2 linked regions of the Lonchura striata genome follow. The protein of the gene in region 1 interacts with the protein of each later gene in a biochemical or structural test. Links are inferred from orthologs where the notes say so. Each region holds a gene or a part of one and is shown on either strand. Other genes may lie near its edges.

The links.
Region 2: the proteins of MYOD1 (region 1) and CSRP3 form a complex in vitro, tested with the Homo sapiens proteins (2 studies listed by BioGRID and IntAct, with this or other methods). The link is inferred for Lonchura striata from reciprocal best matches to the Homo sapiens genes MYOD1 and CSRP3.

The regions. Positions count from the first base shown.
Region 1 is NC_134608.1:48,598,432-48,607,611, reverse strand, and holds MYOD1 (myoblast determination protein 1), read left to right. Parts: upstream 1-5,110; 5' UTR 5,111-5,261; coding exon 5,262-5,816; intron 5,817-7,280; coding exon 7,281-7,359; intron 7,360-7,925; coding exon 7,926-8,176; 3' UTR 8,177-8,627; downstream 8,628-9,180. UniProt on the Homo sapiens protein: Acts as a transcriptional activator that promotes transcription of muscle-specific target genes and plays a role in muscle differentiation. Together with MYF5 and MYOG, co-occupies muscle-specific gene promoter core region during myogenesis.
Region 2 is NC_134608.1:57,241,544-57,250,832, forward strand, and holds the start of CSRP3 (cysteine and glycine-rich protein 3), read left to right. Parts: upstream 1-5,017; coding exon 5,018-5,129; intron 5,130-8,890; coding exon 8,891-9,059; intron 9,060-9,289. UniProt on the Homo sapiens protein: Positive regulator of myogenesis. Acts as a cofactor for myogenic bHLH transcription factors such as MYOD1, and probably MYOG and MYF6.

The sequences.
Region 1 (9,180 bases):
AAATGATTAATAGGATCAATTAGTGCAAATTATTTTATGAATATATATATAAATTTTGTTAAAACAAATAAAAAAGAAATCACTGTACCTTTAGTGCAAGGAAACTTTTACATGGCAGAAAATCCAAATACTAGTTTTATATTACTGAATATTTTATTTTACTATTCGGTATTTAAAATTACTAACAAGTATAGTAAAATAATGAACTTTTTAAAAATACTTGTTCAAAAACAATGGGTTTTTTTCTTATTTCTATCATAGTAGCAATTTAAATAAGTAGTCTAATGAATTACTGATCAGCTATTTCTGGTGGTATACTTCAGGATGAAGGATACAAACATTTCCTCAACAGTGGGAATAAGAAAATGTGCTGATTTCTTTATAGCTATTTCCTAGCTGCCTTTTCTCATCCTCAGAAAGTAGATGAGAGAGAAATTAGGAGTTCTCATTAGATGAGAACTTTAGAGGTTCTAGGGCATATTTTGCATGTGTCACCAAAGACAGTAGCTTTGTCCAGACTTAACACAGGATGATTGCTTTAATTATGATACAGAGCCCTGTCTCAGCTAGCTCACTAAAGGTATTACTGTGGCACTCCTGCTACTTCTTATATTCCCTATTTGGTTCGAAGTAGGGGCATGAGATCCTAGTGAAAAAACAGCACACTTAAATAGAAGTGCATCAAAGAGAATGGTTACTCATTAGTTTTGCCTTTCAATTAGGGCAGTGTCAGTGAGCTTGGTTCAAGTGCAGAGGTGTCCAAATTCCTCTCATTAGTCCCCTACCAGAGTACCTCATTCTGTAGCCTGGCTCCCAAGGTCACCTAAGAAGAGCAACTGGCCAGATCAGCTGCCTGCAGTTAGGGATTTTTTGTCATTATATACATCTTTTCTGTAGTTGGCATTTGATTAATTGGAAGATTGCCTCACACTTTTGTGTACTACTTTAGCTGATACTCCTGTTTTGCTTAAAAATAAATTCAGTTCTATGTCTGCATCTCCAGTGTATTCCTCAATTCACCACCCAGGCATGCTCATGTTCTTCTCCAAGAGATTTTGTATGTGTACAAAACTGTGCCAGTATTTTTTTGCATCTGAGGAAGTTGTGCATGATGGAAGAGTATGACGGAGTGAAAATAAATGCCAGAAAACTGCATTACTCTAAAAGCACTGCATAATGAAACATTTTTAGTAAACTCTGATAGAGCTACAGTAGCAATTAAGTAGCAATTTCTGCAAAGCCCACCTTCTGTTGGTGTTGTAACATGGGATAGAAATCAATGTAATCAATGCAGATGTTTTCCCAATCTTTTCTGTGAATGTGGTCCAGCTTTGGGGTGGGGATGGCGAACACAACTACATTAAAACAACCTCTGTGTTAATTAATAAAAATACTGCCAAGTGCCACAAGAATGGCTCAAAGCACTTTTAAAATCATGCTAGATTTGCCTTTGTTGAGATTGCTGATCTCTAATACAGCAGGAGTCTAAAAGATATTTCCATCTGGGCTAGATTCCGTCACCCATCCTCATGCTGAGCATACCTTATTCAACAATTAGTTCCACTGACTGCAACTCAACATGAATAAGAGCAATGGAATCCATCCCTCTCAGTGTTAAAATACAGCTCACTAAGTGTGAACAGAGCAAAGCTACTAACTGAATTCTAAACTAGTGCTGCATAAAACTACTTCATGTACTACTAGTAATGTTTGACCTACTTGTACAACAACCTTCACCTTTTAAAAGCTGATGACCCGAAACGTAGTTACAGCTTCCTCCATGGTTTACAGCATTTAACAAAGTCCAACATAACAAATAATACATCTTCTAAATTTTTCAGAGCTAGACTTACTTGACTCTTATTTTCCCATGAAGTAGTGCCATGTCTGTTTCTCAGACTTCTCATGTTCATCTTCTAACCAAATGTAACCACATACTCTGAGGATTTAAGTCTTTTTCTCTCCCTTTTCCTTTGCCAGAACATGTTCTGGGCCTTTGCCTCTAAAGACAATTCTGTTAATTCCAGATAAACTCAAAATCAGCTGTTTCCCCAGCCCCTATCCTCCAAAAAAGAAAAGATAAATCAAGCAATTACTGCAGATAATAAGCTCTCCTTGTCCACATGCTGCTTCTGCTGAGGGGGCATACATGCTTGTGAATATGGTCTCAGATTTAACAATACCTGTCAGTTGTGTACAGGATGAATCTATCCATGTTTTTCAATGTAGGAAGTACAATCTGCTTCTGCCTTCCCAGCTTCCTTTTCAATCACATCCTGAAAAATAATATACCAAGGATGAATGTAGAATAGGTTAAGGGAAACAGCTCTTATAGAAACTTTACAAATTCTCTGCTGAATGCTTGTTGAGCCACACTCTCTGTATCTGTACTACCAAAGCAGTGCCCAAACATTCCACACAACCTGGGAAAGCTCTGAATAGCTAGTGCAGCACCAGTACCCTAAACATAGCATCCAAACTGGAAGATCAGGAGAGACCTAATCTTTACAGAAATTATGATTACAGCCCCAGAGGCTTTCAAAGAGGTTTAACAATGGAATCCTTGTAAATGCTTGCCATAAACACTACCTATGGTTGCCTGCTCTCAGAGTGAGGAATGCCCTTGAAAATCTCCAAGTGGAGATTGTTCTGTCCTTCATCCTCTCCACTGTGGCCACACAAAACTGGGAAGAGCATCTCAGGGTTTGTTCTTTGCAAGAACGTTTTTTTTAGGACTCACTGTACATGGCAACATCTTTCTGGACAAACATGTCTTTGGGAATTGCACTGGAAAGTAGATGTTAGTGGTGGCACCAGTAGGGAATCACAGAATCATAATTGTTAGGATTGGATGGCATGTCTGGAGACCAGCATGTCCAAACCCAAAGGAAGGTGTCCTCAAGGGCACTTTCACTGAAAGACTACTGTGTGGAATTCACTTGGTGGTCACAGCCTTCTCCTGACCTTTTCACTTGAAGGAATTCATGCACTTGAGCCCACACTCATGGGCAATTGTTGGCAAGTTCTCTGTAGTTGCCAACAACTGCCAAAGAGTGGGGCTTTGTCCAAGCCCCACTGTTTGTTACCACTTTGCCCAAGGTAATCCCTACTCACTCAAGTCCCAGAGTGTCTTTTCCTGGGGTCACATATAAGCTACAAACACACTAAGGCAGAATAGGCTATAATAATGACTAAAGATTAGGTAAAATTACATTTTTCCAAAAATTAAGCCAATGGTCTAGAGAGAGTTTAAGTGTCTTGAGTGGGTCACACTGCCAGCACAAAGCCTTCATATCCCATTTTACATGTTCAGTTGTTACAGCATAAATCTCTTTCTCATTTAAATGTATTTTACATTATTGTATACCTTGCACTATTTTCAATACAAATTATTTTTACTTTGTTAGCTGTTCAATAAAGATTTAAAACCAACTATCTTTATTGCTTCTGGATCAAAGAACATCTGTAATAACATTGAAATGTCTCCACAAAATTGTCACTCTGCCTTTCAGAAACAGCTGGGAGATACATTTCTAAATGTGTAGGGGTGGCCAGTAGCTGATCTCCCTCCTTGGGACATATTGCTTTTCAGCATTGGGTACTTTGAAAGAATGAATTTCTACGTATAGCTTTATCTTTAAATAAAACTTTTATCTTTTAGAGATACTGAGAGAATGCCATTTACAGTTCTAATCTTGGTCTGTACTCAAAGATATTTAGGCAAGTAGAAAATGGGGAGTGCAATTTAGGAATTTTTGCCAAAAAACAAATCGTGTAACAACAAAAGAAGCCACCATCATGACAGTCCATCTGAGAAGTCATAGGCACAGGGACTGGGAATTGATCATTGATGGATGTTTTTTACCTTTTGCGATTTTGTCAGTCAGCCCCTTATCCCACTGGAAACAGAGCTTTGCTGCTGATTTTGAATGAGCTGAAATTTTGCCAACATTTATAACTGCAGAACAGAAATTATTTTTAGCTTTTGGGACATTAAATATATGCAATTCTATTTTAATCATTAAGTCAGTGAAATCACATAATTGAATTACTTAATTCCTCTGAGGAGAACCTAATTTCTCATCTCAAATGATACTCAAAAAAACAGAGTAAAAACTCTGTCACCCTTGACAGACGATACTAAAATGGGATGCCATTTCCCCAAGCTCCAAACTCTCCCGCTGCTAGAATATAATCCTTCAGCCGTCCAACTGCAGCGCAACCGCAGCAAAACGCCACGGCGCGACCTGAGATCCATCCCTCCCAAGGCTTCCGAGTGAAGGCGAACAGAGCTGGAAGAGGAACCCGGAATGCCAGCGTTCGCAGGGGTTCCCGAGGCAAGGAAGGCAGGCGCACCGCGGCCACGGCGGCGCTTCCCGCTGGGACAGGCCCGCAGCGCCACCGGGCGGCCGCCACCTGCCCATCCCGCCTGTCCGCCGTGTCCCCGCGTCCCCTCTGCCCGCACCTCCCGCCTGTCCGCCGTGTCCCCGCGTCCCCTCTGCCCGCACCTCCCGCCTGTCCGCCGTGTCCCCGCGTCCCCTCTGCCCGCACCTCCCGCCTGTCCGCCGTGTCCCCGCGTCCCTCCTGCCCCGCACCTCCCGCCTCTCCGCCGTGTCCCCGCGGTGTCCCCGCTTCCCCGCCGGCCCGCACGGCCCCTGCTGCCCGCGGTGTCCCCTGGAGCCGCCCACCCCCACGAACGCCCCCGCAGTAATTACCCTTGTGTCCGTGGAGCCGCGGACAGACCTGCCCAGGGGCTGGGGGCTTTTTCCCTGTGAGGAACCAGCGGAGCCGCCACCGGTGTGTTCGGTGCGTCCCCCCGGGCGAGCGGCACCCGGCACCTTCGGGCATCGGGGCGGCTGCTCTCCCCGGCGCGGCGGCAGGGCGGGCTGCTGAGGCAGGAAAAAACAAAACCCGGGGGAAATGTAGCCCTGCGCGCATCCGAGCGCCCGGGCTGCCGCTGCCCCTGCGGGACACCGCGCCCCCCCGCCGCCCCGGCCCCCGACCCGCCCGGCCGCGCCCCCCGACCCGCCCCGCCCCGTCCCGACCCGCCGCGCCGGGGGGCTCGGCCATAAATACGGCCCCGAGTGGCGCTCCCGGACCGGCGCGGCTGCGGAGGGGTCGGGGCAGCAGCCAGCGCTGGTGGCCTCGCCTGGCAGAGGCTGCGAGAGTCTCGGCTCGGCAGAGCAGCCCGGTGGAAGGCCCCTCCGTCCGAGCCCCTCGCTGTCCCCTCTGGCCGGGCCGCTGTCCCCTCTGCCGCCCCCATGGACTTACTTGGCCCCATGGAGATGACGGAGGGCTCCCTCTGCTCCTTCACAGCCGCCGATGACTTCTACGATGACCCGTGCTTCAACACGTCGGACATGCACTTCTTCGAGGACCTGGATCCGCGGCTGGTGCACGTCGGGGGTCTGCTGAAGCCCGAGGAGCACCCGCACCACCACGGGCACCACCACGGGCACGAGGAGGAGCACGTCCGGGCGCCCAGCGGGCACCACCAGGCTGGCCGCTGCCTGCTGTGGGCCTGCAAGGCGTGCAAGAGGAAGACCACCAACGCCGACCGCCGTAAGGCCGCCACCATGAGGGAGCGCCGGCGGCTCAGCAAGGTCAACGAGGCCTTCGAGACCCTCAAGCGCTGCACCTCCACCAACCCCAACCAGCGCCTGCCCAAGGTGGAGATCCTGCGCAACGCCATCCGCTACATCGAGAGCCTGCAGGCCCTGCTGCGGGAGCAGGAGGACGCTTATTACCCCGTGCTGGAGCACTACAGCGGGGAGTCGGACGCCTCCAGCCCCCGCTCCAACTGCTCCGATGGCATGGTGAGTGCCCCAGGGAGGACTCCCTGCCACCAAGGTGCCCTGGACGCTGTTGGTCCAAACCTGAGCAGGGCAAGTCACCTGCCCTTCCTATAGCAGCTGCCTTCTGTACCTCCCCAGGCAGAAGACAAAGTCCTTTCTCGTGCCTTGAGCACTCGCGGCGAAGGGAGGTGGGGTCCCCACATGACAGGAGTTTTGGGAAAGAAGAATCTCATACACATTTTGTTCCCTGGGATAAGAAGTTAGGCAGGTTCCCCATGTCCTGGAGGAGCCAGGGAAAAGCTGCTGGGGGAGAACTTTGGGAAGCTGCCTGGAATGGGCACCCTGGGGGCATTGCCTGTGATCCCGTAGATCCTGAGGCATCTCTGTTTCCATCTTCTGCTGTATCATTACCTTTGAATCCTCTAAGGACAGCAGAGAGCAAGGGCCCTCTAGGACATGGTAGTTACACAGGAACTGGTAAGAGTCTGGGTTTTGTTTTCTTCCATTCATCATTACAACAGGAGGAGTGTCTAAGCAACAAGAGTTATTTTTCTGGACCCTTAAGAAAAAGATTCTCCATTTCTCTTCTCTCGCACTTCATCCCCTCCATAGATCTTTACAAGCAATAGGAAGGAGAATCCAGGCTTTTTGTCTTGATTGTACATTATGGGCATGGGAGAAGAAGGGTGGGTGCCAGAGAGGGTGTCTCACCCCCACATCTTTTGGCTGGGGCTGTAGGTTCAGCCTCTGGTGTGACTCTGGGCTGGTAGGATGCGGTGACCAGAGTCCAGGACAGCTCTCTGGATAGGCCATGAACTGCCCTTTCAGACCAGAGATTGCTTTTTGTGCTCTGGTGGGGATAGTCACTACTGAGTTGTGTATCTGTGATTATGAAAGACTTAACACATTGGAGAGATTTACACAAATTATTCCTCTTCAAGATACAACCTCTTTTAATAGAGGAATTTCATTGTGGATTAAAGTATTGGAAAAAAAATGCATTAGTCAATTTCATAGAGCACTTTCTATATGAAATGGAAATGGGAAGAGAAACTGAAGGAAATACAAAGGAACAGGGTAGACTGAGGCTTTTAAAGAGGAATTAATGTTTAGAAAAATCTTTAAAAACTAAATTAAAAAGACAATTCACATTTCACACAGGTTTCAGGACACTCAAATCTCTCTGTTGTAAACGAAAGATACATGAAGGGCTGTATCTGATCAGAATTCTGGAAAGCCTCATCTCATTTGTAAAGCTGCAGCATTCGATGCAAGGGTGATAACTTTCCTGTGGAACAGCTGTGCCACATAAAATATCCTGGGGTGGACCCCCTTCTAGCCATGTTTTTCCTTACTCAGAGAATCTACAACTTGATGGCATTCCAGACAGGACTGGAACGATGGCCAGAGCCTGAAATATGAAATTAGATGGTTCCTGGGATTTGGGTAAAAGTCTGATCTCACTTGGATTTCTCTCCTTCCCAGATGGAGTACAGCGGGCCTCCCTGCAGCTCTCGCAGAAGGAACAGCTATGACAGCAGCTACTACACAGAGTCCCCAAATGGTGAGTACATGCCCTAAGGGCGGTGTGAAACACCGAGACAGAGGCAGGCAGTGCAGCAGCTTTCCTGTGCCTGCTCCCTGTCCAGCTGGGCTGAGAGAGAAACCTGCCTTTCCAGCCAGCAAGCCATTGTTGCTGGTAGAGGCACTGCATTTCTTCTAGGTGTATTTGCAAATATGGGGATGTGTTATATCTGTATTTCCCATTTTGCAAATCTAACAGTTGGATAGAAGTATGTTATTCTCTGCAACTAATTTCAGCATTATCTATATTCTACATGAAGACTTCGTACTCTATCATTGATCCAAATTGGAGTAATTTATGACTGATTTCAAATCTGCTCTTCCCTTTCTATGGACTCAGTGAAGCCTTAGATCCTCCCTTTCCCCAGAGCAGCACACTGTGGTTGGACCTCTCTTCCATTTCGAAATTACAATCTGTTTTCTGATAATTGGTGTCCTTCACCAATACTCATTTCCTCTGAGTCTTCACATGCCCACAAATGTGTAGTGCCCACTGATGTTAATTACCCACTGGATAATCTGAGCACTTTTTTGTCTGTTTTTCAGATCCAAAGCATGGGAAGAGTTCTGTTGTTTCCAGTCTCGATTGCCTCTCAAGCATTGTAGAGAGGATTTCCACAGATAATTCCACATGCCCTATACTGCCTGCGGTGGAAACTGTTGCTGAAGGGAGTCCCTGTTCCCCTCCAGAAGGAGTGAGCCTGAGTGATGGTGGAGCCCAAATTCCTTCCCCCACCAACTGCACCCCACTCCCCCAGGATAACAGCAGCAGCAACCCCATCTACCAAGTGCTATAAGGAGCCCTCCAGCTGGACTGCACCAAAAACAATTTGCTCCGTTTGGCCTTGCTCAAGACCTGCCTTCTAAGGTTGAAAAGACTTCTTAAGACTTGTTCCAATTCTAAAATATCACTGAAAATTCCTTCAACTATCTAACTTTGCAAACCTGTATCACTTCAAAGTACACATAGTTATTTATTGGTTGTTAAACTAAAGTTATTTAATACATCTAGAGATAAAATTGTATACCATGAAATGGCCAATACTTAATCTGGGCTGTGGGGAATAGGAAGCTGGCTCTTGAATGTGGAGGAAAATAGAAATCTACAGCAGTAGTGGCATGACAGATCCTTCCTATTACTCCTGTTCTGGCCAAAATAAGGTTGTGGACCATTTTTTATAAAACTTTTGTATAATTGTAAATAAGAGTTGCTTTCCAAAAAAAAAAAAAAGAAAAAAACCTAAAAAATAGTAAAATAAATAAATTAAAAAAAAAAAAGCCAAAAATTTAAAAAGGGGAAAAATTTAAAAAATATTTAATATTGCTTGGTTTGTTGTGTCAAACTTTAACTTTATATATTTATACGATGTGGTTGCCAAGAATGTTTTCAACAGTATTCTAAATAAAGACCCTTATTTATAAAATCTGTGGTGTTATCTTGACTTTCGTTAGGGCTTCTAGAATTACTAGTGCATTTAGGAGTGGTATTAGATCTCTGCCTTGGCAGGAAGAAGATACAGGCTCTGATTCAGCAAAGAAATCAAGAACATGCTTCAGTTGCACTACTTTGCATAAATATGCTGCTGTCAAAGGGTCTCCTTTCCTCATATTCTGTTGTGGTCACTGCTAAACCTAAACATCACAAGTCATTATTAGAGGAATCAATAAATAAGCATGTTTCTCCTCCTGCCCTCAAAATTTACAATTATATTGTAGGACTTGATCTTACAAAGATGTGTTGAAACTAAGAACCACAAAAAAATTAGACTCTCCAAATTCCAGTGCAGCTACTGAAACCATA
Region 2 (9,289 bases), about 8.6 Mb from region 1:
TGGCACTTAATGGACTTAGTGCAGGGATAAGGATTTAGAGAAGGATCTTGTGGAAGGAATACTGAAAGCTGGTAGCCCAGGATAAAGCCTGGAAAATTGAATGGGTCATTTGTACAGCAGGGTGCAGCTTTCCACAGCCACATGGATCAGACTGAACCATGAGTGTGAGTGTGCAACATGCCAATGTGGGGTGGGGCTGGTTTTTAAGTCAGAATTAAGTACCTTGTTCTAGAGTCAGGATAATGTATTTTTTGGAGATGCAATCTTAAATTTCTGCAAAAGTGTGCATCAAGGAAGTTTCAAAGGACAAGTGGCATAACTAGGCTAGAAAATAATAGAAAAAGTGGAAGAACAGATATAAAAGCAAGGGAATGGGGCACTATCACCCCTCAGCAATGCACATGTGCTTCACATCAAGTCAGTTAAAATCTTTTGTTTCAAAGTGCCACGTGTAACTTAGCATGACTAGTGTCAGTGAAAAATCAATATTTACTTTCCAGTGTTAGAATTCCCATACCTTGACCTCTCTGTGTTGCTTTACTGCAACAAGATGTAAAAGGGAAAATGCTGGTTATTATGAGATTGTGGTGGAACCTCAATGTATGACACTGACTAAGAAAATTTACCTGTAGCCACAGCCCAGTGAATGCATTGGAATATCAGAAATATGATTATAAACACATAACAAGATCACATCTCCATCAAATGAGCTCAGTCTTCAAACACAAATGAGCTCAGTCTTCCCTCTGTTGTGAATCTCTCCTGCTGAGGGAGAAGCATGTCCCACAAGGGGCTGGATTTTGACAGAAACACCTCCAGGCTGTTCGAGATGTAGTGGCAGCTCAAATGCAGACACATCAAAAGCAAACCTCACCGTGAGTGTCAGCTGCAGAGAAAAACCACAGCAGCATTTGATGGCTATTATATAAAGGAAGACATATCTTGTTAGCCCCCGTTGCTGGTGGGGTGAGTACCACTAAGGACGGTCAAATGAGTCACGGTGGTCACAGGACAGGCCACAGCAGAGCTGTGATTAGATACCAGAGTTAAGTTCTGGCTGCAGTAGCATTCCCACAGACTTCAGCTGGGAAAAGAATTTCCAATACGGCCTTGATACTTTGCATTTCAATGTAGACAGGGATGTGTGAGTTTTATATTATTATTGCTTGTGTGTTAGGTAAGGAATCAAGGAATCGGTTTTCTTATCCTCTGAGTTTGGACTAAGCAGCTTAGCTGGGACTAAAATGCAGAGGGATGCAAGGCACACCCTGCCCACCACTCCCACTCAGCATTTCTACTGCCAGTGGTCACAAAGACCAATATTGCCCATTCTGCTTATCCCCTTCAAAGCCATCCTGCAGCACATGTGGCAAATACACAACTCAGCAGTCCATTCAGATAATACCTGAGCTCTAGACTGTCAAATGCTTGAGCACACAGAAGAGAAAACCTTGTGTTTAGCAAGGAAGCACCAGAATTAATTCCAATTAATTCATTAATTAATCACATTTTTCACCTGCAGCTCAGTCAGGCATTAGCACTGCCTTTTACTCCACATTGCATCAGGCCTGAAGTGCATCCACCACCCACTTAGATCAATGGATCAAAATTAATTTATGGATTTTATCCTTATCAATAGCACTTTGATTAGAGAGAGACCCTCTAATCTGACAGATTAGACACCCAGATTTGGACAGTATGACTAAGAGCCCAAAAGAAGACAGATCACAATGTTTTCATGCCTGTTGGGAGCACACCAACACTTCAAAGGCTTCCTTGCTCCAAACCCAGCCTACAAAGTAGTGATATAAGCTCTAAATAATGGGAGGCATGAATCCTTGGCTGCACATCTGATGTATAAATTCTGCTCCATATAGAAGCTACATTCTGAAGAATGACACAAGCTGCTGAACAGCATTTGAGCAAGCCTGAGAATGCTCCTCCAGCCTGACAGCACCCTGAGTGCCCACACGTTGCAACTAACACTCAGAAGTTTCTGTGTCACACATTTCTTACCTTTAGGATGAGTCTGCTCCACTTCCCACCAGATCACCAGAATATAACCGTGTGATGAGCAGACATGAAAAGTTAACTAGATTAAGACAACAAAGTTAGGGAATTTCACAGGGATTTAGACACTGACACCGAATGAAATTATGGGAAGTGGAGACTTTGGATCTATTTTCTTCTGACGACAAATGGGAGACCGATTTCTATTTCTATTGAAAGGATGGAGCTTTGTCCACTGTTATAATTTAGATGAGTACAAAACCATGAGTGCCACATCCCCTGTGGAGATTACCTTCTCATGGTGACCCTGCTGCACAGGCAGCATCTCCAGGGATGGCCACTCAGCTCCAAGGGATGAGCAAAGCCCGGACAGGAGGAGCACAGATGTGCCCTGGTAACTCACCCAGCTGTTCCTCCAGCCAGCACAGACATCATAGCATGCACTCCTGTTCTTACACCAGTATCCTTACAGAAATATTTCTGCCATGCCTTTCTTCTTTCTCCTACAGCTTCCCATCAGGTGATGCCAAAAACCCATGGAAAATGTGTATGCATGCCCAGTCATGTTACTATAATTAGCCTCAGGAACAATGATCCTTCTAAGAGCTTCAACCACAGCCCTTGACAGCACAAGGTTCACTATCAATACTTTATCAGAATTTTTCAGAGATTATTTTTTCCCCTTCAGCTGATGATGTAATTGGAGTTACTTTCCAACAACTATCTTTGCTGCCACAGTTTTGGAGGTTTGGTGTGCCTTTGAGGAGACCTAAGAGAGAGGAAGCAGCTTTACAGAGACCAGAGGTACAAACCACTCTCCTCCCAGCCAGCTGTCAGTGCTGCCTCAGCTGGGAAGGGATTCCACTGGAAACCTGATTTGAAAGGGAACACTGTAGACAAAAAAAAAAAATCACATTTAATTTTCAAGGAAGTGTCACAAAACTGATTTTTATCCACAGTTGCTCTTCCTTCTTTTAAAATGTTTGAAGTATTGCTTGAACTGTTTTTGTAAGAGAAAGCAAAAATGGCACCAATACAAAAGTACTTTAAAAACAGAAGAAAATATAGAATGGTAGAGTGAGAATAAGATTTTACCTACATGAAAGATTCCTTTCTGTTCCATTATCTCACATTTAAAAGAAATTGAAAAACCAATTCAACAGTGCTGTTCAGTGAAAGCTTCACTGAGTGAGAGAGATCAAATTCATCATCTATTCATTGTGCAGAGTTTTGTTTCTTATTTCAGCTACATCAGGGTTTTTTTTTTTTTTTTTTTTGCTTCTCACTTGTTACATTACAGATAAACAGAGTTAGAAAAAAGCTGAGTTTTCATTTCCTTTCTGCATCATTGCTGTTTTGGAACTGCCAGAGCAGTTCTGCTCCTGAGCAGCCTCCCAAGAGAGCTGGGAGGGTCTGGAGGAGATTAACAATGCTGCTGCAGTGTGACAGCAGGAGGCTGGGCTGGCTGAGCTGGGGAGGGTGCTCAGCTGAGCAGAAGTCAGCCTCACAAAGAGGAGGAGAGGTTGGATCTTGCACGAGGATGACAGGTACACTGTCTAGTGAAGGTAGCAGTTACAACAGTGACATTTAATTACACAGGGTTAAGGATATGCTAATAACTGCTGTGGTAAGGCAGAGATGTTTGGATATGCTGGTATCTGCACTGTTATCAAACACAGATTGCAAAACCTGCCCCCACTGCCATGTCTCCAGTGCTATTGCTTCAGTCTGTGTCCCTTCCTTTCGCTGGACAGACAAGTCTTTCATACCACTGCAGGATTTTTGGTGTTAGTTGTCAGAAAGGATTCCCCTCACGGTGCAGAGCTGGCATGCAGACATTGTTCATTTCATTCTGAAATCCAGAAGATTAAAGTGCAGAAGTCACTGAGATGATGATAAGCACAGGACATTAGTCCAATGTAAATATATAGTAAAATGCTAGTCTAAAATGCAACTAATTGAAAAGACCAGCTGCTACATCACTGCTGTGATAAATTCCCCTCTCTCTATCACCTGAGCTCAGAAGAAAATTCTCAAGTAGCAGGCCTGATTCAGCCTTCAAAATCCTCCTCTTAGTTAAAAGTACCTTTTGGTGAATTTAATCAAACACAAATAGTACAAGCAGGCTTCAAAATAACTATAATAAGAAGGTGACTGGTTTTCCAAGAAGGAGGAGGAAGGCCCGTGCCAGGAGCTTGGAACAACCTGATAATTCTGTGTGCAGATGACATCCCAGTCTTTCCAGAAACGATGACTCAAACAAGAAAACAGGAGGGCAGACTGGAGCCTGGGGTTGTTCCAGGTGTGTGACTGCATAATCACAGGGAAAAGCACTCAGCCTGACATCAGGAGACCTGGGCTGGACTCCTGCCCTCCTGTGTGACCTTGGGCAAGGCACTTCAGTACAAACTGGAACAGCAAGAATGGAACAGAAACCACGGCCCTTTGTTTTCTTTGATGTTTAAATTTTAAATACAATTGACAAAGGGAAAAAACCACACCTCAAGCACCTCAGCAACCTGTCCATTATTACTTTACAATGGCTGTGCAGCACAGAGATCTTGTGGCTGCTTCATGAGGAACTCAGAAAAGGTTATGCTGGGGTACAGGAGAGGGCAGTGTTGAAAGAAAATGACTACTTGATGGAAAATAAACCCTAGACCCTCTTTTCCAGAAGAGGGTTGAGTGATCCTAGCACCTTTTCACTGAAACACCTCGCAATCATTTCACATATTTACCATCACAATATTCCAAGCTAAGGAATATCCTTTTTTACGAGAGAATCACAGGGATTTGGACTGTCCTGTCCTCAAAGCACCAGGGTAGCACCCTCACTTCTGCTACCACACAGGTACGAAGTATATTGCAAGTATGCAGTAGCAGTTGACTGGAGAGGGAGGAAAAAAATATATTTTTTTCAGTCAAGCTGTTCCATTTAAAAGAATTCACATTTGCTGTTGCATTTATTTATGTAATTTGATTTCCTAGGTTAACCCTTCAGATAAGGATGCCGAACTGGGGAGGAGGAGCCAAGTGTGGAGCCTGTGAGAAGACAGTGTACCATGCTGAGGAAATCCAGTGCAATGGAAGGAGCTTTCACAAGTCATGCTTCCTCTGCAGTAAGCTGGGCTGAATGGTTTAACATCACAGCACCCCTATAGCTCTGTATAACTCTTCCATTAAAGCCAGAACATTTATTTTTGTATTACTTGGCAGGCAGTTTTGCTGCCTTTTACCTGGAGCAATCTGCCTTTTGGGCTCCTGGCTTTTCTTTGTCCAAATATGAGATGGATTTTGTCAGGGACATGAAGGTGCTGCAGAATCCCAGTATCTAAGTCCATCTCCAGGACTTTCTTCCTTCTGTCCCACAGTGTGGCATACCACAGGTTCCTTCAGGTTAAAAAGCCCAGCAGAACTAAACAAACAGCACTGATCAGACAAAAGGATGATTACTTCTTTACTTTTAGGAGATGATTACTTTCACAGCGAATCCTGACATTAATTTGTTTCACACCTTAAAGCTGAAAGACCCTGGTGTCATCAAAACCTCCCACCAACTCTGCACTTACCTCAGCCTCCTCCCCATATTTCATGTAGTCCCATTTTGAAATGAACAGGGTCTATGCCTTTTCACTTACTCTTTCCCTCCACACTCCTCTCTGATGCTTGGCTTCCAGGAATTTTGCTTTCTCTGCAGAAGAGGTAAAAATTAAAAAACAAAAAAATTTCAGAGAGAAGGTACCAATTCAGCTCTGTTTGTCGTTTGTGGAGAGGGAGAAAGCAAAGAGTTTGCTAAGAAATAAAGACAGCTGAAGAGTTGATTTTGCAGACAATACTTGGGATTGGTACTTTTGCAGTCCGACTCCCAGCATGACAGTTTAGGAGCCACTGAATCCAATTTTCTCCCTCCCTTTCTGGAGGGATAGAGACTTCTTATTTGGAGGCATCAGACTAACTTTATGTGCTTAGCTGATACAGAACAGCTCTTTGCAGAATGAGACCAAAGGACACACCTGAGCTGTCTTTGCCTTTCTCCAGGTGCCCCAAAAGTGATGCCTGAAAGTCCAAATTATGCCTTTGGTGATGCCTAAAAGGCCAAGTAAGAAAAGATTCCCTCAAAAAATTTTCAGTTAACTGACAACCTTCAGCCAATTCTTACAGAATGTTAAAAGGAAAATCTCAGTCTCAACTAAAACTTTCTAAATGCTTCCATGTTCTGCCTATAACAATAAATAGTAAATAAAAATAAAGATCTATCCTAATAGAGCATAATTATGAAGCATAATTACGACTATTACTCAAGTATAGTACAAATTAATTATTTTCTTTTAGTGATTCATGATAAACAACTTACATTCATTAGCTCTATCAAATATTTAGTTTGTTGTGGGGCTTTTCTTGGTTGGTAGTGTATTTTGTTGGGGTTTTTTTGTGTTGTTTTTTTTTTTTTTTTTGGTTGTTCTTTTATTTGTCCCTTGTTTTAAGTCTGAATTAATTATTAATATGTTAGATACTAAAAATAGTATTCCCATCAGAAATATGTTTAAGGTCAAAACTTAAAGATGCATCTAAGTTGCCCAGCTGGCATATGAAAGGTATGTTAATTGGCTTTACTTTCCCCCATGATTCATGTACACTATTCAGAAGCTCTGAATGCCTCAGGATCATCTATCACATTTGTGAACTTTTTTATGAACCATTTATAGGATTTCATTTCTCAACAGAAGGAAACCAATTTTTCCTTAACCCTAAACTCAGGCATGCAAACACTCAATTTAGCTGTACTTTTGTATATTTCTATATAGAATTATTTCAAATATATCTTCTATTTCACATTATATTTGCCCAGACACGTGAAACACACCAGTATTTTTTGGTCAAAGAGTTCAATTTCAGCAGATTTATAAACAACTCAAAGCAATCTGTTAACACAGGAAGAATCAGACAAGCTAAATTATTTCTAACACTCTCTCTGCTCCATAGTTTTTCCCTACAAGTATTGCAAGAGAGAAATTTGTTTCCAGCAATCCCTCCTTCCCATGCAGACTCCTGCTCACCTGCAGACTGATGTTTCACTGACAGCTTTTACCCAAAGTGCAGCTGTGATGGACATTTGGCAGGATCTCACACCACCAACCTGGATCTCCTCAGTGCCGGCAGGAGAACAGGAGCTGTTGGCAGATGACAGGTCTCAAAGTTATTTCAACAGCACTTCAAGGCCTTTTGCTCCATCTGTTGTGGTGAATTAATACCCTATCCCTAAGGTACCAGAAATAGAAACACTTAATCCACTGCTAGAGTTTCCATCATCCCTTAACTCCCTTAGCAAATACAATTATCATCTCAAAGCAAGACTGTAGTATGAGGAGATCAGGTTCACACATTTACAGAAGTGCCTAATTTTACTTCTGTTTAGTATAAAGGTCTTTGCAAATTATTTCTTCCTTCATGCAATACAGGGAGGAGGAAAGCCACAAAGATAACCAGAGAGCTGGGGATGTATACCTAGTTATACTGCCCCTTAACAGGAACCTGGTCTGGGGGTTGGAACTGCATGATCTTTAAAGTCACTTCCAACCCAAACCATTCTAGGAGTCTGTAATAAAAGCTGCAGAGGTTGCAGGATGTAAATTCCCTGCGGTGAATAAATAGGATTGAGAGGAGGACATTGAAAGTAAACGTGGAGGAAAGGTGCTAATCAAACCCTCAGGCAGCTCCTCCAGAACTTCCACTTCTAGACACTTCCAACACCTCTGTATTACACAGCTTTCTGTTGCATACGTGAACTCAGCAACTTTCCCAAGCTATCAATAACCCGTGCCTGGAATGCCCTCTGCAGGGCAAGCATTGTACTAAGGAACCTGAAGAGAAAGTTTTTGCTTATTTTTTTCCCGTTTCTAATCAATCGCTGTTGAACAGTGAAGAGTTTGTAAGAAGTACTGAAATAGTAATGTTTTAGCATACTGCAAAATCGTGGTTTTCAAGAGAGACTCTGAATTGGAAGATCTTCCTCTCTCTCTCTGTGGGGTGGAGGTTGTCTCACGCTGAGTTCCCCAAGTGGTGCAGCAAACACAGGCTCCCTAAGCAGTGAGGAGTGTAGCTACTATATTTTTTCCCCATTGATTATTAAGAGTGCTGTAGAGAACATAATCTGTAATTTGTATTTGTACTCCCTGATGAAAGCTGGGCATTCCTATGACACCTTCTGTCCAAAAGTCTGCCAGACCTTTCTTAGTGAGCTAAGCTAAGCTGTCGTTCTCTGTACCAAAGATGATTTGTAAGAGCTCTGTTTGGGAATGGCTACAGCTACACTCCTGTCATCCTGGAGGAAGTCTGACAGAGCTGACGCTTGCTTTGCCTTGGTGTTACAGCTCCAACAAAAAAATAATGGCAAAAAAACCCCTAATATGTCCTGTCTGACTCCAGAGAGGAGTCAGTGTTAAAGCCTCTTTCAGAAACACACATCAAAACAGCCTGGGCTGAGCTGAGAAAGCCCCCACAGACTCAGAGCAAGTATTCTGAGAAGTTCAGATCAATGTCCCTGCAACACCTTTCCCCCCTTATTTAAGGTTTGGGAGTTCAGGATGCCCAATTTCAATCTCAAGCCCATTTTAAGCTTCACAGATCTAGATTTCCCTGGGGTTACAGGATTAACTTCATAGTGGCAAAAGAAGAACAGGTTATGTGCATACACACATACCTCCCTCTTCAGCAACAGCCCAGTCAAGTTTCATACCGACAAGTTTCATGCTGGCTGGCTCCTTTCCCCACATTTTTAAAGCTAAACAAAAAGAAATACTAATTGCAATTATTTTAGACCACATAAATTCAAATTTGAAAAGGCAACTGCTGATACGTGCCTTTCTCTCCCTGTTTTCAGTGGCTTGCAGGAAGGCTCTGGACAGCACCACAGTAGCAGCTCACGAATCTGAAATCTACTGCAAAACCTGTTATGGGAGAAAATACGGCCCCAAAGGGGTTGGCTTTGGACAAGGGGCTGGATGCCTCAGCACTGACACCGGAGACCACCTGGGCTTGAACCTGCAGCAGTGAGTCAAACCCCAGTGACAGCTCCTTTTTCTGGTCCTATTTGTCTCTTACCAGGGTGTTTTATATATTTCATACTGTTTCCATAACAACATCTAGCATAAGGAGCAGAGCTGACTTTCCTACACCCTTTCCTTCCCTGAACACAGTAATTCACAGTTTTTAACGATGCTCAGTCTCTTTAAGCCTGCTTTACAAATTGTACCCTCCTTCAACAGGCAATTATTCTGCA